3 linked regions of the Callithrix jacchus genome follow. The protein of the gene in region 3 purifies or fractionates together with the protein of the main gene of each other region. This does not show direct contact. Links are inferred from orthologs where the notes say so. Each region holds a gene or a part of one and is shown on either strand. Other genes may lie near its edges. The genes, in order: BZW2, ENDOD1 and TMEM43.

Region 1 (3,648 bases), on a different chromosome or scaffold from region 3:
TTAGTGTTCTGAAAAAGTAAAATATGACCTAAATACTTATGAACAAGATTCATTCATTTGAAGAATCTATATAGTCAATTAAAATTCATTGTGAAATGCTATTCAACATTTTTAAAAGAGCTATTACTTATGTAAAACCTTTATTTTCCAAATTTCCAAGATATCATTCAAAATAGATAAATTTAGGAACACATCAAAAAGAAAAGAAACATTTGGCTGGTATTAATTTAACTTTTCTGACATCATGATGCTTATGAATATAATAACAAAATAAGCATGTTATAATGTTCAAAATGTATAATTAAGTGTTCCTTTTTCTCCCTCACGAAACGACATAAATTTACGCCTAAAAAATAGCCTAGGACATTTTTGTATGCTGTAGGTATACAGATTGAGATCAGTTAAAACCTTTAGCATTCATTTTTTAGTGCCAGTTGTCATGGTAACCTAATCCTTATAAATACAATGAAAAGACAGTAAATGTGGAAACCTAAAAATAGCCATTCCCTTGGAAAATAGGAGAATGGCTGGGCCAAGTAACTAAAATCCAAAGTAAAAAGTCTAATTATTTCAGTAATTTTAAAGTCAGTTTTATGGTGCCTAAAAGCATGTCAACATAATATATATAGCATTTTGATAATCATTGTTATTAGAGCTAATCCTTGCAATTCAAAAACAGGCTCAATTTTACATAACTGCATTTTTTTCCCACTATCCCTAAGAAACAATAATCACTAGTTCATCTACCAATGAGAAGGGCCCAGGGGCCTAAGCAGGATTTCCGAGGCAACGCATATATGGCGTGTGTGCCTCCTCTCTCTCCGTGGTAACGTTGCCTCAATAAAACTTCCACAAATTAGCATCTTGCTGTTCCTCTCTAAACAGAGCCCAGTGACCTCCTCTGCCTCATCCCCTGCTCTGCCCCTCAAAGAGCTTCAGCAAAACACAGAAGCACAGCAGTGGCACGTGGATGAATACCTTTGTAAAAGAGAACCACGATCTTCTGAAAGGCTTTCATGAAATGGATGTTGTCGTAGCAGTATTCCTGAACTTTCTGGAGGAGGATCAACTCTGACTGGCCTTGGGAGCTGAACACAGCCAGCAGGGGAGCATATTGCTAGAACAGAAGTAGAAAGTAAAAGCCATTACTTACATGGGAGGTACAGGGCCTACACTGCTGAAACCATAACAATAACCTGGAGGGTTGCTTAGAAAAGATTCACTTTCAGGATTAGTACCTTCTTATCATCATATTGTGCCCAATGGGGTGAGGGGAACAGAACAGTAAGAACAAAGCAGTATGGTGGACCTGTGAGGGCCCTGGGAAGAAGATTCACACTCTTTCAACGGCAGAGCCACAGTCCATTAATGCAATGGAAGTATATCAGGATATGATCTCATTTTCACAATATCCCTTAGACAGAGTAGGCACAGCAATTATCTTTAACACAGGCAGATTCTCTTATTTGGTCTCTTAGAGGGTACAGGGAAAGAATCTTGATGAGCTGCCAGGATAAAAAGCATTCATTTAGAAATGCCCTTGACTTTCTGACATTGATGCACAGCCATTGTTTTTTCTGAGACTTACTCAGTTCAACACTTATCTCCTCCAAAGGGCCTTCCCTGATCAAAGTAACATGCACAGTTTACTCACTGCTATGTTCTCATGAACGCTGAGTGCAACCTTGAAAAATAATGGGAAGTATATGTTTAGCCTGAGTCTGAGGTAATTGTAGTTGGAACCCATTTGTCTTAATTAAGACAAATGTGGGCCAGGTGTGGTGGCTCACACCTGTAATCCCAACACTTTGGGAGGCTGAGGCAGAAGGATCACTTGAATCCAGGAATTCCACTTGAATCCAGGAGTTCAAGACCAGCCTGGGCAACACACTGAGCAAACATCTCTACCAAAAAATGAAGAAATTAGCCAGGTATGGTGGCAGGCACCTGTAATCGCAGATGCCTGGGAGGCTGAAGAGGGAAGATGGTTTAAGCTCAGGAGTTCAAAGATGAAGTGAGCCCAGGTCGTGCCACTGCACTCCAGCTGAGGCAACAGAGTGAGACTGTCTCAAAAAAAAAAAAAAAAAAAAAAAAAAGCCGCAGTTTGCCCTCAGCTGGGTCAGTTCCTTGCTAAGAGATGTTACCTTTAGGTGCTTCAGAGCCTGCTCTGCAACAAGTTCTTCCTTCTTGTTCCACTCAACAGCATTCATTATACAGGTCCACAGAAGACCAATCACAGCTGTTTCTGGAAGATCATTCCTCTTCATTTCTTCTTTAACATAAAGCACCACCTACATTTCACGGAAATGGGGTCAGAAAGTATCAGACAGATGGAGAGCTCCCAGCTCCCACCTAGCTGCCCAGTCAATCAAGGCTTTGTGGCAGCTGAGAAACAATCTGCTTCGTTTCTCCTTTCCTTGTCTGCATTCTCAGACTAGAAGAGGGAGAAAAAAATTTAATAATTTGTTCTCAAAGCAGATTTATTTTTAGCCCCAAAATTAATAGGCTTAGCTCTGGCCAGGAGCTGCTGGAGAGGATTTTTGTTTCCTCATAGAGAAACCCCTTTGAGTCTAGTAGAGTAAAGATACTTGAGCCAGTTTGACTTTTTTGAGATTTAAAGAAGGCAATAGAGTTGTGAACTTTTATCTCCATCCCTAAACTTTAAAACCTCTTGATAGATACCATCTTGGGTTTGTACAAGTCCATTCTCCAAAATTTATTCTTCAATGATTACTTTTGATGATCCTTATGCCCCATCGCAATGAAAAGTTATTTTGTGAATTAATTTTAAAGTGCAAGGTCAATTTTTTAATTTCATATATAACAATTCAGCAATATTTATGTCTCCAGTATACTACTTTGTGAGTAGTGGTAAACCTTTTTTTCCTCCCTTTTCTTTTTCAGTGGAAACACAATGCTTTCTTTACTTCTGGCCTGGAGTGCAGAAATGACAGCAGTGACTTGAGTAGCCTTCAAAAGCAGAAAGAGCTGGGCAGTCACAGTTCCTGCGTTGGCTGGAGGAAGCCACATAAAAGTGTGACATCAGGGCATCTACGAGCATCACAAGGCTTTTTGTTTTTGCTTTTTTTTCCTCATGGAAAGTAATGTGCAAGTTCTTGCTTGGAGAAATATGATTGAATATACTGCTAACCTTAATACCATGAGACATAAGAATATTTGTTATTCCAACACCCCCACCTGCTGGATACTATCAGTCCCACATTCTCCAGCCTTCAACCATGTGAGATGCCACGCAGGGCTTGGAGCATGGAAGAAGGTGGAGTGGGTCAGGCATTTTGGAGCAAGTGGAAAAAAAGAAAGGATTGTATATATTAATTTTTAACTGTTGTGTTAAAGATTGTAAAACTTCAAACAGAAAGCTTTCTCCAGGTACATTAAAAATTTAAAAAGATAATAGTCATAGCTTTCTGAACTATACTATGTAGCATGTGTATACTATAGTTATATGTATTATAAAAATACATGTATAACTGTGCATACATGTATTTTTGTATATGCATATTATAAAAAAACAGAGCTTTTACATTATAGGGAAACACTGCTATTGCGAGTGTCAGTGGGATTAAACAAGTCACTTATCCAACTATTCTTTTCCCATGATGTGAATTCAAACTTTCCCTTTCCAAA
Region 2 (4,173 bases), on a different chromosome or scaffold from region 3:
CACTTAAAAAAAAAAAAGTCAAAGTAGAACAGAAATGTGAAACTGCAATGCCAGCTGTAAGCATAAGAATTATGTCATGAAACTTTTCTCATTATGGGCCTTGTCAAAAAGTGTTGGAAGACCTCAGGGCCATAGTACCCTGAATAATATGACCCTTACCTCCTTCTTTTTTTTTTGAGACGGAGTTTCGCTCTTGTTACCCAGGCTGGAGTGCAATGGTGCGATCTCGGCTCACCGCAACCTCCGCCTCCTGGGTTCAGGCAATTCTCCTGCCTCAGCCTCCTGAGTAGCTGGGATTACAGGCACGCGCCACCATGCCCAGCTAATTTTTTGTATTTTTAGTAGAGACGGGGTTTCACCATGTTGACCAGGATGGTCTCGATCTCTTGACCTCGTGATCCACCCGCCTCGGCCTCCCAAAGTGCTGGGATTACAGGCTTGAGCCACCACGCCCGGCCCCCTTACCTCCTTCTTCAGCCCCACTTCCCATCATCCCCCATGCAGTTATCCATCCTTTGCCTACACTAGCCTTCCTTAAATTCCTCCAATGCATCATGTTCCCTTCCGTGAGAGACCACTGAGCACATGGTTCTCCTCCTTGCCTAGTTAATGTCATCCTCCAGGTCTCAGCTCAGATGCCACTTCTTCAGGCAAACTTTCCCAGATTACATCCCGAACCCCTGTAGCCATCAGGGTCTCACAGATCTGTGTTCAGTTTTTAGTTATCCCTTTAATAGCATGCTTCCTCGGTTAATGACAAGCTTTCCGACTAGGCTGTCTTTGTGACCGCAGGGGCCCTGTTCTTGTTTACCCTGTGGTAATCCAGTGCCTATCTCAGGGTGGCACCTAGGCATTCAGAGGGATAAATGAAGGAAAGAACTGGCTAACCTATCCACCAATGACATTGGCTGACCTCCTTCCTTGCTTGGCATCGGTTTGGTTTCTAAGCCTTGCACCTAGAAACCACAGTAGGGTTGTACTGTCTGCCTAGTTTAGGGACTTCCTTTCACAGGATTCCTTGAGTCTCCGAGTTTCTGATGAGCTAAAAAACAAAACGAAACAAAAACCTGCATCAAAATTGTATGCCTGTGCTGGCGGTTGAGCACTTCGGTGGAGCGGGGGAGACGGTATTCATGAGATTACAGAGGGGAACTCTGCCGGTTCACTCCGAACAGCCGCAGCTCCGGGAACATCTCACGCCGCCCCTCTGCATCCCCAGGACGGCCGTGGGGCGCACACCATCAGCAGGCTTCTTGGCGCCCAGTCCAGGCGACTGTCCCTTCCCAGCCCCTTGGACAAGGCCCGCCCCACTCGGATTCTCCATTCTTAGCAGCTCACGTCCCCGCTGACTGCTGAGACCAGGCGGCGCAGCGGCAGGTGACCGCGTCTCCAGTCCCGGGCGCAGCCCAAGGGAGGTTATCAGCACCGCAGAGCCGGGCCCCGGCCTCTGCAGCCATCTTCGGCGAGGTAGGCGCGGCCTCCAGACGCGGACCCGCCCCCGCCGCCCGGGCCGCCCCCCTGGCTCCGCCGAGCGCCGCGCCTGGGTTCCTACTTCCCTTCCCTACCCGGCCCGGCTGCGTCGCGCTCCGCGCCCAGTTCGCAGAGCTCCAGCCGCTCTGCCCTGCCGCGCTCGCAGAGGCCGCCATGGGCACCGAGCGCTGGCTTGCGCTGGGCAGCCTCCTCGCCCTGGCCGGGCTGCTGGAAGGCCGGCTGGTAGGCGAGGAGGAGGCCGGCTTTGGCGAATGTGACAAGTTCTTCTACGCCGGGACCCCTCCTGCGGGTCTGGCAACAGATTCCCACGTGAAGATCTGTCAGCGCGCGGAGGGCGCTGAGCGCTTCGCCACCCTCTACAGCACCCGGGACCGCATCCCAGTGTACTCCGCGTTCCGCGCCCCGCGCCCGGCGCCCGGCGGCGCCGAGCAGCGTTGGCTGGTGGAGCCGCAGGTAAGCTAAGCGGTTCCCTAGCCGGGCTGCGCGCGTTGGGGGCCGTGCCGCTGGACTTGCCCCCAGGGGCGCTTTGCAGCCACCCGGAGGGGCCGGGCCGGGAACAGCAATCCCCACGCCTTCTGTGCCTTGGGCCAAGAAACCCGGGTTCCAGACCCACCCCGTTGCGCCCCCGAAGTTTAGCCGGCCTCGCCCCCTGTGGAGGCTGCAATAAGAGCCTGGCTATCCGCGAGTCATCACTTCACTTCAAGAGCTGCAGGGGCGGGAGGTCCCCTGTTGGAGGAGGTTCTCCCTGCATTTCTGCGCAGACATCTGCAGTGTTTCATTCGTTTCCTGAATTTGTGAAGGGTGAGACAGAGACCCTGGAGACGGTTTAGATCCGCAGAAAGCCTTGGCTGGGCGCTCCCAGGCCTTCGTGCAAGTCATTGCCATAGCACTCATTTGGAGGTGGGGAGGTGGGTATTTTCATCCCCATTTTACAGCAGAGGAGATTACAACCCAGGGGGATGAAGAGACATGCGGAAGACCACCCAGCTAGTAAGATGGTGCAGGTCTTTTGGCTAGGAATTCACTAGCCCTTTCTACTAAGGAAAACTTCCCTTTGCAGAGCTCATCTCCTGGCCTGAAAATCCTTCCTTCTACACGTGGCATTGAGTAAATTCTATCTGTGGTTGTGCTGAGTTAGACAATAAAATAGAGGTATAGATTTTTAGAAACGCAGTGGGATAGTTACACACGATAGGGAAGCATTGACTACCTCCAACTGATGGAAAGACAAGCCAGTTTTTCCTGACTCTTCATATCTATATTATCAGACCACTAGGAAATCATGTCGCCTCCCATGGTGTTGTGTCCCATCTGGTAAAGGTAACCAAACACTGGAGAAGCCCTCAGAGGCTGCCGAACCTGCTGGCCTGCTCTTAACACATCCTGGCTCACCTCTGCTCACTTGGCCTCCTCTCTAGAACACCCTGCCAGGCTCCCCTTTACCCTCTCACCAGCTTCCCACCCCTGCTCAGGCTGCCAGGGGAGGAGCTGACCCAACTGTCTTCCTTTCCTGATGGCCACAGCTGCCCAGGACCACACCCATGGACAGGAGGCTGGCTTTCAGGTGCTTTATTCAGAGGCTGCGGGTTTTTACTTCATTCAGCTATTTCTAGCTCTGAGGTCTCCACCAGTTCTCAAACAATCTGCACCTAGTTTTCTTATCTTCCTCACATCCTTCCACCTACCTCAGCTGTTGATAACACCTGTTGAGATCAGGCATGTGAAAAAGACTTTGTCAATTGCACACACAAGACACATTTAAATCCAAAATTAGTTTTCCTTCAGCTGCACCTCTAGAGCTCAACTCACATCTCATCTTGCTTTGTGATTGTGTGCCTATGAAGAAAACAAATGACCTAGTCCTTTCTCCTTGATCTCATGGACAGTTCAGGGAGACCGAATATATGTCTGAGGAAATCCTGGGAATGCAAGCTAAATGAATTTCAGCTAAATTCAGAACACATTTAGTGATCTCTTGCTGTATGCCAGACATTTGGGATATCAAGAGATCTGAGTGCAGTTCTAGGACAAAGGCTTCCTGGTCTGCAGGTGGAGTTTGCTTGGTGGAGAGGTGGCATAGTATTTGATTAGAGCTATGCTATGTGGGTTCAAATCCCAGTTGCTCCACTGACTAGCTATGAACTTGGGCAGGTTAAATTGGAGATAATAGCAGAGGGTGGTGTGAGGATTTAATGAGTTACCATATGTAAAGTTCTCAGAGAGGCGTGTGACACAGGAGTATTAGCTGTTGCTATGACATAAACAAAAAAACCCCATAATTTAATAAAAGGGTAGCAAAGTCCTATTAGATTTAATCTGTCTTTGAGGTGATGGAAGCAAGCCTTAGGGTCAGGTTGACATTTGTGCTGTGCCTGGAAAGATAAGGACAGAAGGGAGGTAAGAAGGGAGACAAGGAGGAGGACATTTCAAGCAGAGGGAACACCATGAGTGAGAAAGGCATGGCAGATTCAGGGATTTATGCATGGAGAAGTTGGAACAGGTAAACTAATACAAATAAATTAATGTGTTCAAGTGCTCAGAATAAAGAGGAATCATGGAAGGGAGGGATCAGCTAGGGAGGAGTGACCAAGGAAGGCTTAGGGAGGCAGAGCCATTTATGCATCTAGGGAAGGAGTGAGTCATAAAGGAGTGTAGTTTGACAGAAAGAAGTGGAGGGAACCT
Region 3 (3,648 bases):
TTAGCTAGTCCCCTCTTTACATCTTTGTGGCTTTTGTCAGCTGACCCCCAGCCAGGTGCCAGCCCAGTGTCAGTTGTAGGGAAATCTGTTAACATTCCCACTAGCTAACACGTGTATAGTGCTTTCCATGCCGTAGGCCCTGAGCCACCCAATAACTATGTTCTTTGGTTCTCACCACAACCCTATGCACCAAGGAAATGGAAGCCACAAAGGGGTGAAATTACTTGCCCAAGACCCCATAGTTGGTATGTGGCAGAGCCTAGATTCAAACCCAGTCCTTCTGGCTCCAGAATCCTTCCCTATGCGATGACACTTTTGATCAGCAGTGGATACACCCCAGATCATGTCTCTGTAATTGGCCAGACAAAGCCTGATCCACTCACCCTTGAGCTTGAGGCCCGCTGTGAACCTGTGCAGAAATGCCAGGCTCTGCCTTTCTTCCCCCATCCCTCCCACAATCCAAGTAAAGCAGATAGGCAGCTGCTCCCTGAGAACCACTTCCGAGTTCCTCATCACTGCTGACACGGTACTCCCCTTTAGGGATGCACTTCCCCTAGAGTCTGCCTCTAAGATGCCACCACTCAAATGCTCCCTCCTCTAGGGAGCCTGTCTTGATACCCCAGCTGGAAGAGGTCTCTCCTTGAGCACCAAGTCCACCCCTCTCACCACACACGCTGCATGACCTCCTAATATTGTTTATGGTTGTGACCTTACTGCCCTAAGACTGTCTACTTCTCTTCTGACCCCACAAGGGCTAGCATTGCCCTCAGAAATCTCAGCCACTGCTTGCTGAATTTCATTAAAAATACATCTCTAATAACCTCTTTGTAAAACAGCTTGGCAGTTTCTTAAAAAGTTAAACATACATATTCTCTGTGAATCAGCAATTCCACTCCTAGGTATATACCTTTGGGAAATGAAAGCACAGGTCTACACAAAGGTTCATATATGAATGTTCACAGCAGCATTATTCATAATAGCCAAAACCTGGAAGCTGCCAAGATACCCATCCCCTGATGAATGATTCAGCACATTGTGGTATAGTCATAAGTGGAATACTACTGAGCCATGAAAAGGAACAAAATCCTGATAAACATCACAACGTGGATGAATTACAAAAGCAGTGCTCTGAGTCCAAGAAGCTGGGCAGAAAGGAGTTTGTGTTCTGATTCCATTTTTCTCAAGTTCTAGAAGAAACAAAGCTAATCTACAGTGGGAAAAATTCAAATTCAAATTCTCCCCCTCCCCACCAGTTACCACCTGTGGTTGGTGGAGAGGGGGAGAATTGGCAGGAAAGGGGCACAAAGAAACTTTCTGGGGTGATGGAAATGTTTTGTACCTTGCTTTAGATGTTGGTCAGATGGAATATATGTTTGTGGAAACCCACCAAAGTGGACATTAAATATCTGTGTATTTTACCAATTACAGTTAAAATTGGAAAAAAAAACCCGAGTATAAATAAATAGCAAATTTCATTTATTTTTAAAAAAACTAATTTCATTCTGTGAATATGTTACTTTTTCTTCAGTATTCCAGTATGAGCACCCGGAGAGAACATGTCAAAGTTACAACCGGCTCCCAGCCAGGCTTCCTGGAACGGCTGAGCGAGACCTCGGGTGGGATGTTCGTGGGGCTCATGACCTTCCTGCTCTCCTTCTACCTAATTTTCACCAATGAGGTTAGCACCTCCCTCAGTCACAGTTGGATCCAAGTGTTCATGCTGGGTCACCAGGAAATCTCCATTTCTTCATGTCTTGCCTGTTTTTCTCTATTGTGGTGTTTTTATTGGGCAGGTACTTCCTCTGTGATGGCAAATGTGGCCCCAGAAACTGGCTTACATCCAACCACTTAGCCCAGGGAAGAGAGAAACCTTTCTTTTTTCCTTCCTTTATTCCTTTCTTTTTTCCCTCCCTCCCTGCCTGTTTCTTCCCTCCTTCCCTCCCTCCCTCCCTTCTTTTTTTCTTTCTTTTCTCTTTCTCTCTTCCTTCCTCCTTCCCTCTCTCCCTTTCTTTTTCTGTTTCTTTCAAAAATAGGACCTCATGATGCAATAGTATATTTCTAAATCATTTTAGCAACAGTTACAGGGCCTCAGTGTCCTGGCTTGGCTCTCAGTCCTCTGAACCAATCTCCCTGGCCAGGCATGACTCACATGTTCTGATTGGCAAGGCCTGGGTCACATGATTTGAACAGGGGTTCAGATAGACCTAGGTAAACCACATGGGCTGAAAGTAGGGAAGGAGTGCCAAGTGTGTTGGCTCAGGCCTATAACCCCAGGACTTTGGGAGGCCAAGGAGGGTGGACTGCATGAGGCTAGAAGTTTGAAAGCAGCCTGGGCAACATAGCAAGACTCTTCTCTACAAAAGGCAGATAAAAATGGGGAGAAAGGTACAAGGCAGGCAGAAACACCAGCTATTCCCACCATTGAGGTGGTGCTAAGATTGGCAGGGGCTGGTGGGAACCAGTGGGGGAGTAGGAAGAAGTCTGCCTGGGAAAGCAGGAATCTGGGTTCTAGTCCTTACTCTCCACTTGCTAGACCTCAGTTTTCCAGCTGTACAGTGGGGAGATGGGTCTCAGTGCTCCCCGAGTCCCCATCCTACCCTGATACTTTGCAACAAGCACAGTCAGGCTGAGCCACCTGAGTTGTTGCAACCCCCACCCCCTTTGCTTCCAGGGCCGCGCACTGAAGACGGCATCCTCGCTGGCTGAGGGGCTCTCGCTTGTGGTGTCCCCTGACAGCATCCACACTGTGGTTCCAGAGAATGAAGGAAGGCTGGTGCACATCATCGGTGCCCTGCGGACATCCAAGGTAGGCTTGGCAGGGATGCTGACCCGCCAGTGGCTCGGGGCTCATCCTGGGTGTTGTCTGGCTGAGGATTTGAAAACATGGGCCTTGGAGATGGTCACACATGGGTGTGATTCCTGCCTCCACCGCTCAGCAGCTGTGTGGACCTGTCAATCCTGAGTCTCAGTGTCTCTATATATAAAATGGGAACGGTAATGATAACAAGCTTGTGGCCAGCCTTGAGGATTTGGTGAGATTAGGTAACTAACATCTTGGTACAGTGGCTGGCACTCAGGGAGGTGCTCTCATGATTGTGATGACCATGTATGTCCATTGCAAGGTCACAGAACTATCTTGGGCACCAGCGCTTTCCTGTTATTTGAACACCCAGAATGCTGTTGGCACCATACCACTGGACCGTGCAGCCCAGGTCCATGCTGTGAGGGTCACAGTCACAGGCAGTACATGTGAAGAACATGGGACGGGGAGCATCCTTGATCCTTCCCTGTGAAGCAGAATAGGGCTCTCCACCCTCATCCCCCTTCTCTAGTTCTTCCACTTCCAGTCCAGTTTCCCCTGAGCCAGGCTTTCTGGGCTGACATGAATCTTATCCTTTATTTTTTTGGTTTCTCTGATTCTGTGTGAAGCTTTTGTCTGATCCAAACTATGGGGTCCATCTTCCGGCTGTGAAACTGCGGAGGCACGTGGAGATGTACCAGTGGGTAGAAACTGAGGAGTCCAGGTGAGGTGCCAGGGGGTGGAAACTGTTGGGGTAAAGGAGGAGTAAGGTGTAGGTGTCAGGATAAAATGCAGATGACTTTCATTGTGATGCCTTTGAAATTCAAGTATAACGTCTTCCTATCAGA

What was found.
Region 1: the proteins of TMEM43 (region 3) and BZW2 purify together in Homo sapiens (affinity purification with mass spectrometry; 3 studies listed by BioGRID and IntAct, counting the BioPlex papers as one, with this or other methods). This does not show direct contact. The link is inferred for Callithrix jacchus from reciprocal best matches to the Homo sapiens genes TMEM43 and BZW2.
Region 2: the proteins of TMEM43 (region 3) and ENDOD1 purify together in Homo sapiens (affinity purification with mass spectrometry; 3 studies listed by BioGRID and IntAct, with this or other methods). This does not show direct contact. The link is inferred for Callithrix jacchus from reciprocal best matches to the Homo sapiens genes TMEM43 and ENDOD1.

Annotation. Positions count from the first base shown.
Region 1 is NC_133512.1:41,754,030-41,757,677, forward strand, and holds part of BZW2 (eIF5-mimic protein 1), read right to left. Parts: intron 2,292-3,648; coding exon 2,145-2,291; intron 1,118-2,144; coding exon 979-1,117; intron 1-978. UniProt on the Homo sapiens protein: Translation initiation regulator which represses non-AUG initiated translation and repeat-associated non-AUG (RAN) initiated translation by acting as a competitive inhibitor of eukaryotic translation initiation factor 5 (EIF5) function.
Region 2 is NC_133511.1:45,196,975-45,201,147, reverse strand, and holds the start of ENDOD1 (endonuclease domain-containing 1 protein), read left to right. Parts: upstream 1-1,354; 5' UTR 1,355-1,644; coding exon 1,645-1,944; intron 1,945-4,173. UniProt on the Homo sapiens protein: May act as a DNase and a RNase. Plays a role in the modulation of innate immune signaling through the cGAS-STING pathway by interacting with RNF26.
Region 3 is NC_133516.1:71,100,652-71,104,299, forward strand, and holds part of TMEM43 (transmembrane protein 43), read left to right. Parts: intron 1-1,528; 5' UTR 1,529-1,537; coding exon 1,538-1,678; intron 1,679-2,671; coding exon 2,672-2,806; intron 2,807-3,429; coding exon 3,430-3,524; intron 3,525-3,648. UniProt on the Homo sapiens protein: May have an important role in maintaining nuclear envelope structure by organizing protein complexes at the inner nuclear membrane. Required for retaining emerin at the inner nuclear membrane.